Rattus norvegicus: one gene and its partners. The protein of the gene in region 1 purifies or fractionates together with the protein of each later gene. This does not show direct contact. Links are inferred from orthologs where the notes say so. Each region holds a gene or a part of one and is shown in the gene's direction. Other genes may lie near its edges.

What was found. Proteins that work in one complex are often made in the same cells at the same time.
Region 2: the proteins of Cdk2 (region 1) and Samhd1 purify together in Homo sapiens (affinity purification with mass spectrometry; 3 studies listed by BioGRID and IntAct, counting the BioPlex papers as one, with this or other methods). This does not show direct contact. The link is inferred for Rattus norvegicus from reciprocal best matches to the Homo sapiens genes CDK2 and SAMHD1.
Region 3: the proteins of Cdk2 (region 1) and Prdx6 purify together in Homo sapiens (affinity purification with mass spectrometry; 3 studies listed by BioGRID, with this or other methods). This does not show direct contact. The link is inferred for Rattus norvegicus from reciprocal best matches to the Homo sapiens genes CDK2 and PRDX6.

The regions. Positions count from the first base shown.
Region 1 is NC_086025.1:1,719,032-1,723,375, reverse strand, and holds the start of Cdk2 (cyclin-dependent kinase 2), read left to right. Parts: upstream 1-1,497; 5' UTR 1,498-1,647; coding exon 1,648-1,763; intron 1,764-1,825; exon of another isoform or gene 1,826-2,042; intron 2,043-2,459; coding exon 2,460-2,537; intron 2,538-2,635; coding exon 2,636-2,756; intron 2,757-3,906; coding exon 3,907-4,077; intron 4,078-4,344. Other genes in the region: melanocyte protein Pmel 17 precursor, read right to left, coding at 33-105. UniProt on the Homo sapiens protein: Serine/threonine-protein kinase involved in the control of the cell cycle; essential for meiosis, but dispensable for mitosis. Phosphorylates CABLES1, CTNNB1, CDK2AP2, ERCC6, NBN, USP37, p53/TP53, NPM1, CDK7, RB1, BRCA2, MYC, NPAT, EZH2.
Region 2 is NC_086021.1:166,190,367-166,194,018, reverse strand, and holds part of Samhd1 (deoxynucleoside triphosphate triphosphohydrolase SAMHD1), read left to right. Parts: intron 1-318; coding exon 319-445; intron 446-2,104; coding exon 2,105-2,196; intron 2,197-3,028; coding exon 3,029-3,144; intron 3,145-3,652.
Region 3 is NC_086031.1:76,062,588-76,066,239, reverse strand, and holds part of Prdx6 (peroxiredoxin-6), read left to right. Parts: intron 1-508; coding exon 509-655; intron 656-2,079; coding exon 2,080-2,226; intron 2,227-3,652. UniProt on the Homo sapiens protein: Thiol-specific peroxidase that catalyzes the reduction of hydrogen peroxide and organic hydroperoxides to water and alcohols, respectively. Can reduce H(2)O(2) and short chain organic, fatty acid, and phospholipid hydroperoxides.

The DNA.
Region 1 (4,344 bases):
AATAGCACTTGCTCCTGACCACACACACTCACCTTCTATAGACCCCAAAGCCAGCAGAGCACCCAGCACAAGCACAGGAAGGAAGCACCTTCTCTGGACACCCATACTGGTCCTCCTTTCAGCAGCCAAAGGTACCAGGGGGTGAGAATGAGCCCCTATATAGAAGGGGATGCTCATTTGCATAGGCCTTCCTCCTCTCCCTCCAGAGGAGGGGAAACCTGGGAAGAAGGAAAGGGCCGGAACTGATTTCATCCCATTGCTCCAATGACAGTGTCTGGTTTCACTGGGTCACATTCACTGACACACACTTATTCTGGAAAGAGTTCGCTGATGGGCAGCCGCAATTCATATACTTCACAGTCACAGTTCAGCAAGGCAGAGTCAAGAGAATTGAGTCAAACCAAAGAGTTCCTTAAGACAGAAACAGCACCTTTATCCAAAAGCAGCCAGAAGGGGCTGGGAGTGTAGATTGCCAGCAATGAAACAACACAAGCAGCCAATGAACCCCGAAACAGTGAGACAGTATTAAGCTAGGCTGAGAAACGACTCTGTTATCTAGCCAAAGAATCCTTTACAATAAGAGTCCCGATTGATTTTCCAGCCTGGCCTACAGAGCGAGTTCCAGGACAGCCAAGATTACACAGAGAAACCTTGTCTGGGAAAAAGAAAAGAAAGAAAAAGGAGGGAAGGAGGGAGGGAGAGAGGGAGGGAGAGGGAGGGAGGGAGGGGAAGAGGGGGAGGGAGAGGGAGGGAGGGAGGGAGAGGGAGAGGGAGAGGGAGAGGGAGAGAGAGAGAGAGAGAGAGAGAGAGAGAGAGAGAGAGAGAGAGAGAGAGATTGAATTCGTGTTCCACATGGCCTCACCCGGGAAACCGAGCCAAACGGATCTCTGTGAGTTTGAAGACAACGTGGACTTTTGAACGCATTCCAGCCAACAAGGGCTGCATTATGAGATGTTTCAGAAAAGCAGGTGGGAGTGCTGGAGAAACGGCACCTCTGTTGAAAGCACAAGCTGCTCTTGCAGAAGACCAGAGTTCGCCCAGGACCTCAGCTCCCGGGGATCTGCTGTTTCCGTGAAAACCTACAGATACGCAAACACACACCTAATTTAAAATACGTATTTTTTTCTTTTAAAGATTCCCAGGTTTAGTTTTTTAAAAGAGACTTTCTTGGCCAGGTGGAATTTAATCTCACCCAAGGGATGGTGAAAATTGTGAGGGAAAGGTAAGAAAAATCCGTAGACCAGAAACAACACCAGTTCTGGCCCGCGGAACCTAAACCAGGAACTAGGGGAAAGTTGCGCCTCGGCCCCTCCGCTCGCCTGCCGGGGGCGGGGCCTCTGAGGCGGGAGCGCGGGGTCCGGTCCGCCCTCGTGACGTGAACCAATCGGAAGGACGGGGGGCGGGGCCAGGGAAACGCGGGAAGGAGGGGCGGGGCCTCGGATGGCAGGCTGGAGCAGTGGGGGAGGCGGCAACATTGTTTCAAGTTGGACAAATTGTCAAGAGCTGAGCTCTGCTTGCGTTCCATCCCGAGCTAGGGCTGCCGTGCTCACCCGGGCCCCCAGGTCCTCCGCTCCGAGTGTCCGGCCCGCTTTCGTCAGGGTTCCCGGGCCCCGCTCCCGGGGGCCTGAGCCGCCTCACTAGCGCTCCATGGAGAACTTCCAAAAGGTGGAGAAGATTGGAGAGGGCACGTACGGAGTGGTGTACAAAGCCAAAAACAAGTTGACGGGAGAAGTTGTGGCGCTTAAGAAAATCCGGCTCGACACGTGAGTGGCCTCCGAAGCCGGAACTCCTTTGCCCGGACCTCTTGGCTGCCCCCCCCCCCAACCCCTTACCCAAACAGGCGGGTAGCCTCCCGGGACCGGAAGGTGGCGGGGAGGGACTCCTGAAGCGAGCGGTGGGTTGGCGGACGGTGGACGCTCTCCCGGAGGAGACTGTCCGGGGCTAGAATTCAGGGGAAAGTTTCTTGTCGTGCTCCTCCCGGTGTGCTCCCAGATCTGCAAGCCGAGAGACTTGGGAAGAGAAAGTGGGAGGTGGGAGCTGAGGTAGGATCCAGGGCTGTTCATGGAGTTGGGTTATGTGGGAACCAGAGAAAAGCTCCTTTCTGAGTGGAGAGCTCTTCTCACTACTCCAGCACCATACTTAGAACCCTCACCCTCTTTCAAAAGAATGGCAGTTGAGATTCACTGGTTCTCTGGGGAGGCTGGGAGCTACTCTCAACCCCCTCCGCTATTACCTTTCCTCTGCTTTTTATTCACCTGGAGGCTTCCCTTATCTTCCACTGGAAAAAGAGGAAATAATGACCTTGAATATTGTCTAAAAGCCACACCCTGACTACCCAGGAATTAACCCCTGACAACACCTTTCCTTTCTGACTTCCTAATGGGTTTGGGGGTTGTGTATCCCTGAAAGAATAATGTTTGTAACCGTCTTCCCGCCTCTGTTTCCCCAACCTCTCCAAGTGAGACTGAAGGTGTGCCCAGTACTGCCATCCGAGAGATCTCCCTCCTTAAGGAGCTCAATCACCCTAACATCGTCAAGTAAGTCTACTCTGAGGGATGATCCCCAAGATGAATTCTGTTTGCTTGGCCTCACAATTTCTCTCCCTCAACTCTGGTTCCTGGAACTTCCCTTGCAGGCTGCTGGATGTCATCCACACAGAAAATAAGCTTTATCTGGTGTTTGAATTCCTGCACCAGGACCTCAAGAAGTTTATGGATGCTTCTGCTCTCACTGGCATTCCTCTTCCCCTCATCAAGGTAATCCTGCTCAAGTCTAGCCTACACGCTTTAGGGGAAACTAGAAGCAGGTAATTCGGACTAGTAATGATTTATTTTGGCTTTTTTTCCCCTCAGACTTCTGACTTTAACACACTCCCCCCTTTCCTGTCATTAGTCATTAACCCTAGAATGGACAGAAGAATCCAAATTGAGCTCCTGTGAACCAACCAAGGCAGCTCAGGCAGGAAGGAGATCAGATAACACTCAGATACAGGAGATTGAGGGTAGATGAGTTCCTTGAAATAAATTCTCCCACCTGTGGTGTGGGAAAAACTAATCAGTGAGTCTCTGTGGTCTGTTTTCAAGCTAGGCTGGATCCTGGAAGCACTTTGAATGTATCAGCAAGTACCTACTCAACACATAGTCACTTAACACCTTCAGTGTTGCTAGACACGGGGGTTGAAAAAAGGGATGCAAAAGTTGAGTAGTATCTGGTCTATATCCTTGCCAGGCTGAAAATTCAGTGAAAGACATCGCTATTAAAGGTGTGGTTATGCTGTAGTTGTGTGTGTTGGTTTGTGTCTGTAATCCTAACACTTGGGAGGCTGAGGCAGTAGGATGTAAGTACAAGGGCAGCCAAGCTACAAAGTTCCAGGCCAGAAAGACAGTATCTTTAAAAACAAGCAGGACTGACAAGATAGCTCAGTGGTGAAAGCGCCTGCCTCCAAGCCTAATGACTTGACGGCCTGAACTCCATCCCTAGGTCCCACACAAGAAGAAAAGGAGCTCCTGCAAGTTGTCCTCTGACTTCTACACATGCACTGTGGCATGCCCCTGCCCCCATAAATAAACAAACAAATAAAATGTAACTAAAGAATTAAAGAACCCCTCCCCAAGTATATGGTATAGTTCTTGTGCAGCATATTGAATTTTTTTTAAAGATTTATTTATTTATTATATATAAGTATACTGTCGCTGTCTTCAGACACACCAGAAGAGGGCATCAGATCTCATTACAGATGCTTGTGAGCCACCATATGGTTGCTGGGATTTGAACTCAGGACCTCTGGAAGATCAACCAGTGCTCTTAGCTCCTGAGCCATCTCTCCAGCCCAGCATATTGAATTTTGAGGATAAAGAATAAGTCATATCTGTTTGATGAAACAAACCTCCCTCTCTCCTTTGTCAGAGCTATCTGTTCCAGCTGCTCCAGGGCCTAGCATTCTGCCATTCTCACCGTGTCCTGCACCGAGACCTTAAGCCCCAGAACCTGCTTATCAACGCAGAGGGGTCCATCAAGCTGGCTGACTTTGGACTAGCAAGAGCCTTTGGAGTCCCTGTCCGTACTTACACTCATGAGGTAAGTCCCTTTATGGTTTTCCTTAAGGATCTTGGGAGATGGGGCTGGAGAGATGGCTTAGTGGTTAGGAGCACTGACTGCTCTTTCAGAGGTCCTGAGTTCGATTCCCAGCAACCACATGGTGGCTCACAACCATCTGTAATGAGATCCGATGCCCTCTTCTGGTGTGTCTGAACAGAGTACTCATATACATTAAATAAATAAATTTTTTTTTAAAAAAAGGATCTTGGGAGATGTTCGTAAGAGCATTTGGAAATTACCAAAATT
Region 2 (3,652 bases), on another chromosome or scaffold:
TACTATTGGTTTACAATCCATAACCCAGCGTCCACACACTGTCTCTTGGTGATGGCTTTCTAGTCTTTTATTCTGTAGCCAATCCCCTAACATCTTCCAGAAAATTTCCCCACTGACTTTTGGCTCAGTTATCACCCTGTGCCCCTCAGCATATTCTTCAGTCTCCGACCAGCGTTCTGTCAGCTGGTACATCTGAAACTTGGTTCAGAGTTAAAACAAGAAAGGAAGAAAGAAAAGAAAGGAAATGAAATGTAGTATCTGTGTTTAAGGCAGCTTCCTTGCTGAAATGTTTCTTATCTCTGCTTTGGAACTTTCTAGAGACTGTCACCATCTTGGAATCCAAAATAATTTTGATTACAAGCGCTTCATTAAGTTTGCCCGTATCTGTGAAGTGGACGACGAGACCCGGGCACATAAGGTGAAGCACATTTGTACCAGAGAAAAGGTGAGCTCCATAAGAATACAGTTCTCCATCTGGAATCTGGAGATAATCATCCAGAAATCTGGAAGAATCCAGAAGCCATCTTTCCTTTCTTTCAATTCCTTCCTCTTCTCTTTCCCCTTTATTTCTTGTGAGTGACTTTTTAGATCATGTGCATGTGTGTGGTCTGTGTGTGTGCCTGCTCTGCACACTCGTGTGAGGGAGTGCACACAGAGGCTGCGCTCCTGCAGCACTCTCTGCCTTACCCCTCACTTCCGGTTCTCCCCCTACACCTCATGGGTGTTTACTAGTCATCCTCCTGCTTCTGTCTCCCTCCTCACTGGGGCTGCAGATCCACAGGAGACCACACCCAGCTTATTACATAGACGCTGGGATCAGAACCCAGGTCCCCATGGTTGTGCAGCAAGGACTAGTGACATCTCGTTAGTCCCACAAACTCTTTAAAACAGAAGACTTATTATCACTTGTAATTATGTGTCTGTGCATGAGCACGTGTTCCCCTAGAGGCCTGAAGAGGGCATCACGTGCCCTGGAGCTGAGGCGCAGGCAGCCTGCCTTGCCTATCATGGAGTAGCAGATTCCACTTGCTAAGCCATCTCTGTGGCCCATCTTAATGCTTAGCCTCTAAGTGTCTTAACACTTTTTTCTTCTATTTCTTTTTTTTTTAAAGCTCTGTCATTTTTAAAATTTACTTATTTATGTATGTGAGTACACTGTAGCTGTCTTCAGACACTAGAAGAGGGCATCAGATCCCATTCCAGATGGTTGTGAGCCACCATGTGGTTGCTGGGAATTGAACTCAGGACCTCTGGAAGAGCAGTCAGTGCTCTTAACCCCTGAGCCATCTCTGCAGCCACCACCCCCCATTACATTGTTAAGCAATAACAATAATAATAAAATTAAATCCAGCGTTTATTGAGTCTTATGCTGGGTGGGCTTCGAGTGTTCCTGAGAGGCCAACTGGATCCTCATGACCCTATGTGTATGCTATCACTTCGTTGGTTTCAGTCTGCATTCTGTTGCCATAACGAAATACCCGAGCCTGTGCAATTTATAAAGAAAAGGGTTTATCTACCTCATACTGCCAGAGGACGTTTAAGAGCATGGTAGTAGCATTTGCTCTGCTTCTGTGCTGTTCCTTGCACGGTAAAAGCCAGAAGTGCACACAAGAACGCTGCCAAGGAGCGGAAGGGGCAGTGTCAGGCTGGCCTCATAACAGCCTCCTCCCACAAACCAACCTAGTCATCTCACGGGATCATGAGATCGGAGCTGTGATAGTGTTATCGCCTCTTAAGGGCCTCCCACTCTCTCACCAATGTTACTTTAGGGACTGAATTTGGATGTGGGTTTCGGTGGGACAAACCACACCTTGCTATTTAACAGGAGAGGTCAGTGAGATATGTAGAAGGGTTGAGTTAAATAATATACAAAACTGGAATTTCAACCCTGTTAGGTCCTTACTGGATGATATGGAGCTTAAGAAGTGGTATGGAACTACACTATAGGAAATGTCTTTCTGCATACTGGCCCTTTAATCCCAGCACACAGGAGGCAGAGGCAGGTGGATGTCTGTGAATTCCAGGACAGCCACACAGTGAGATCCTATCCCAAACAAAGGTAGACACAATCTGATCCTGCGATTCCATGTCTGTTTCCTTGCAGGAGGTTGGAAACCTGTACGACATGTTCCACACACGCAACTGCTTACACCGCAGAGCTTATCAGCACAAAATCGGCAACCTCATCGATATAATGTAAGATCATCAGCGTTACCTCACTCTAAAAGTTTACACGGTGCTTTGCCACATTAGCATTCCCAGTGCAAGCTGTATAACATTAAAGAAGCCTAGCAGAAGCCAGGCATGGTGGTACACACCTTTGATCCCAGCATCTGGAGGCAGAGGTAGGCAGATCTGTGTGAGATCAAGACCAACCTGGTCTACAAAGTACGTTCCAGCATAGCCAGGCTATGTAGAAAAATTCTGTCAAAAAAAGGAAAAAAAAAAAGTAAAGTGAATATGATAGCAGATGTCTGCGATGCCAGCACTCAGACAGACAGACAGGCAGGCAGGCAGATTTCAAGGTCATTTCAGGTATGTAGCAACCTTAAAGTTAGTCTGAGACCTTGTCTCAAGGGAAGAAAAGAGTTTAGGTAATTTTGTTTTCAGTTCAGAGTCAGAGCTTTTAGTTCGAAGCTTAATACACTTCTTCTGACCTTGTTTAAAGGAAAATCATGTTGTTTCTGCACCTATAAAATTGGGGCTGAGTATACTTATTATTGGAAAAACCAAATGAGATAAAGGCTCCTGAAGCTCTGCTGTCCTGCCTGGAACACAGTATGCATGCAACTCAAGGCCCTTAAACCCCTGCTGTAGAGCCTAGAACACAGTAGGCTTGCAAGTTAAGACCTCTGAATTCCTGCTATAGTGCCTGGAACACACTAGGGATGCAACTCACAGTCATAAACAGTTGTCTTTCAAACGTAGATAGCGCCTTATTTGTTTTCTTAAACTAGAAGAATCCTTTTGAGCAAGATGTAAAGTAAATCTTCAAAATGTCCTCTGTGTTTTTAAACAATGGTTTTAGGATTACCGAAGCTTTCCTCAAAGCAGACCCCCACGTGGAGATTACCGGGACCGAAGGGAAGAAGTTTCGAATTTCCACAGCCATTCATGACATGGAAGCCTTCAGTAAGCTGACAGGTAAGAACCAAGACACATGCAGCCTGTTGGCTATGATGTTAACTGCCCTTTGGGGCAGAGAAGAGGAAGTGTACACACACACACACACACACACACACGTGAAATTACAAAACATATATCTTAAAGTAGGTGTTACAGTTCCTCTTGTATACTTGCCACATATACAATATTATTGTTATTTAGTACATCTAGATTAATACTAAAAAAAAATAAACTAAAGCAAACCCCACCCCTACAAAAAAAAACCCAACCAAACAAAAACCTTGTCAGAACTGAGCACTAAGTCAAAGGCTGACACCTTAGGGTATCAGACAGTCTGAAATCCAGCAGGTTGTTGATTAAGGGCTGATGGTGGATAGGAATGATGGATGAGGCCCTGGGTCCAATCTCCAGCACCCTCCCCCCCCTGCCCAAAAAAAGGTTTATAGTGGAGAAATCTGAGGATTATTACCTTAATCATCTGATCAGATTCAACAGCACCTCATGGTAGCAGTGCATGGCTCCCTGA
Region 3 (3,652 bases), on another chromosome or scaffold:
TGCCATCCTGTCAATCCCGTCTCCACTCTGATGAGCTTCACATGAATAATAAACTCACCCTTGTCTAATTTTAAATTCACTTCCCTGTCACTTCCTAAACTCCTAGCTACCTACATACATTATGCATAGACTTGCCTACATGGTCCCCTTAATACTCCTCTTCTCCCCAAAATGCCTTGTTCTTCCCAGTGAAAAGCTTTACCTGTCTTTCAGAGCCCAGGTAGGCATTCTACCCCTTTCTGGAAGCCTTCCCTCCCTCCTCAGTCCTATACATTTCAAGAGAGTTCAGCATGGGAAGGGCCCTGGCCTGTGCATACGGCTCTGCTAATGTTCCTTTGAGCGAATAATCACTTCCGACAAGGAGTATCTGTTCATGCATCTTATGATTCCTTAAAGAACATGAGTATGGGGATAGGTCCTTGGCTTGCAAAGCGATGATTCTTAGCCTGGGGAGACTCTGAGAACCGTGTCAGGCTTAAGAGTCTCTCTCCCCCTTCTCTTGTTTCAGGACATCAATGCTTACAATGGTGCAGCACCCACAGAAAAGCTACCATTTCCCATCATCGACGATAAGGACAGGGACCTTGCCATCCTGTTGGGCATGTTGGATCCAGCAGAGAAGGATGAAAAAGGCATGCCCGTGACAGCCCGTGTGGTGAGTCATAGCACTGTGTAAATGCTTGAGCCAGTCCAAGAGGAAAATGTACAGTCGTGAGACAGCTCCTGATTGTGCCCTTTATTACACGCTGTACGTATTAATATGTGGCTAGAATATTCAGTTAAAATTTCTGTTTAATTCGTAGCTGTACATAAATAAGTAGTACATCCAAAACTGTTTTTCTAGAGTTAAAAAAATCGTATGTCTCCTGCCAGCTGTCCTTAAAGCAATTCTGACAGGACAATCTAGAACTTTCTTATAGGTCGTTTATTCACTGGGGAACAAGCCTACTCTCCACTCATACACAGCCCGCGTTAGTGACGTATTTATTTATATAATAAATTACAGCTCACATTCATAATAAATATGTCCACGGTAAGTAACCATCCTAGGTGAACTAGGACCTCTACCTGAGGCTGAACCCCGAGGTTGCATTGCAGTGCTTTTCTTCCTGGAACAGCAAACTTTGAAGAATACATAGACAAGAAAGCGCCCTGTGACCCAAACAGAACCTTGTCCACTCACCCACTCCTTTGTTCTGTTTTTATTTGTTTATTTGTTTATTTATTTATTGCATCTTGGATCACTTAGTGACTCCAAAGCTTCCTGGGGGCTTTGTATCAGACTTTAAAACAGTGAACCCCAAAGAATCTCCAGGAATCCCGTGCTGGAAGGGAAAGGCTAAGGCATCCACACCAAGTGGGAACTTTCTCTTTCCTCGAAGGACGACATTTCCCACAGTCTTGAGGGCTGTGTGAATGGACGTGTGCGAGCTTCTGGCTTCTGGTTCATCTGTTCTATGACTGTGTTACACGGGAGCAAGGTAGCTTAGCAGCTGAGAGCGTTTGCTGCCAGACCTGAGGGTCTGATTGGATTTCCGGGACCCACATGGTGCAGGAGAGAACCAACTCCTGCAAGCTGACCTATGACCTCTATTCTCACACTGGCACAAGTATACACCCACACCCTCACACACAAAAATAAGTTGCTTTTTTGTTTTGTGGTTTTGTTTTTTTGGTTTTTTTTTTTTTTTTTTTTAATTATAGAACTCTAACTATAGAACAACCCTTTCACAGGGGTCACGTCATATTCTGCATATCAGTCTTTACATTATGATTCATAATTAGCAAAATTACAGTTATGAAGTAGCAACAAAATGATTTTCTGGTTGGGGATCACATGAAGAACTGTATTAAAGGGTCACAGCACTGGGAAGGTAGAGAAACCCCTGTGTTAGAGGAGGGATGGACAGACTAGAAGGAGTCTCCCTCCCTAGTTTGGCTACCTTGTAATTAATGACCATTTTCCTTTGCCGGTTCTGTTTTCTTATTTCCCTGAAAGAGGTATCGAGTTCATGGACCGGAGTGTCCAGAAACAGCTTTACTGTCTTGTACTAAAGACCGCCCATGTGTGTTTTACAGGTATTCATTTTTGGCCCTGACAAGAAACTAAAACTGTCCATCCTCTACCCAGCCACCACGGGCAGAAACTTTGATGAGATTCTCAGAGTGGTTGACTCCCTCCAGCTGACAGCATCAAATCCAGTTGCCACTCCAGTTGACTGGAAGGTAAAGCGCTCAAGAACTAGATGGCCAGCTTGTCGGAAAGATCCAAAGGACAGTCTCTCATGGCCACCTTCAGGATCTGGGATTCTTGGGGCTGTTTCTGTTGTCCCAGTATAGTGTACCAGGAGGATTTGTTTCAGAGATCATTCACACTGTTTGCATAAAAACTGTGATTTTTGCTAACCCTACATCATAATTCCAACATGTAGGTCACAATGATCCCTTTTTCATCTGGAAGTTAAGCATTCCTAATCCAAAAATCCCAGCTCCTCAATGCTCCAAAATCCAAAACTTCTTGAGGACATGATGCATTTCACATTTCAGTTGTTGGAGGTTAGGGGTGTTCAAAACTAGGAGGTGCACATACTCCATATCCAAAAATGCCTGAATACAAAACATTTCCTTTTCAGATAAAGGATACTTAACATAGACAAAAATTTAAAAAGGCTTACATCTATTACCTGATGAGCAGAATATTTCTCGTTGGGGTGGTACTCGTGGTCCTTGTATTCCAGAGACCAGGCCTGGAGGATAAGCTCTTGCTCGGCCTAAGCTACCTAGCAAGATCCCATCTCAAAAATCAGGAAGAAAGAATCAAAGCTTGATTGGCTGCTTCACCCATCACAGTGGCTGGTTAACTGGTGTGCACATGTTACAGCATTTCTCTTAAGCTCCAACACAGATAGATAGATAGATAGATAGATAGATAGATAGATAGATAGATAGATACATACATACATACATACATACATACATACATACATACATACACACACACACACACATAGATACATACATAGATACATACATAGATACATAGATAGATAGAGGTGTGTGTGTGTGTGTGTGTGTGTCTGAGACTTGCTCAGAAAGGTGTGGGATGTATGTGTCATGGTCTCATGTAACCCAGGCTGGCCTCAAAACTTGCCGTTTTGCCAAGAGTGGCCTTGAGTTTCTGATCATCTTCTGCCTCAAGTGCTAAGATCTCAAGCATCTGTCACCATGCCCAGTTATACATGGTCCTGGGAACCTAGGGCTTCATGCATGCCGGGCAAGCACTCTTCTGAATCAGTCCCCTCCCCTTTAAAACAGCTCAGTGTTTACCATAGGCTGGCCTTGGACTTAATCTGCCTCAGGCTCCGGTGTGCTGAGATTACAGACATATACTACCACCACCCCCAGATTGTTCATAAACTTGTAATATACCTAGGAAAGATCTCTGCAGATAAGTAGAACAAGACAGTACACCTAGGAGTCTTAGCATTGCTTTCTGCTCTGTGTGTTAACTTGAGTATTGGGTTTTGATTTTTCTGCCAGGCAAGTCACCTACATTTTTCAGCAAATGGGGTGGGGGATTGGAGATGAAAGGGAATCTAGCCTGATCCAATCCAATAGGATCTGTAAATGGGGTGTGAGTGTGTGTGTGTGT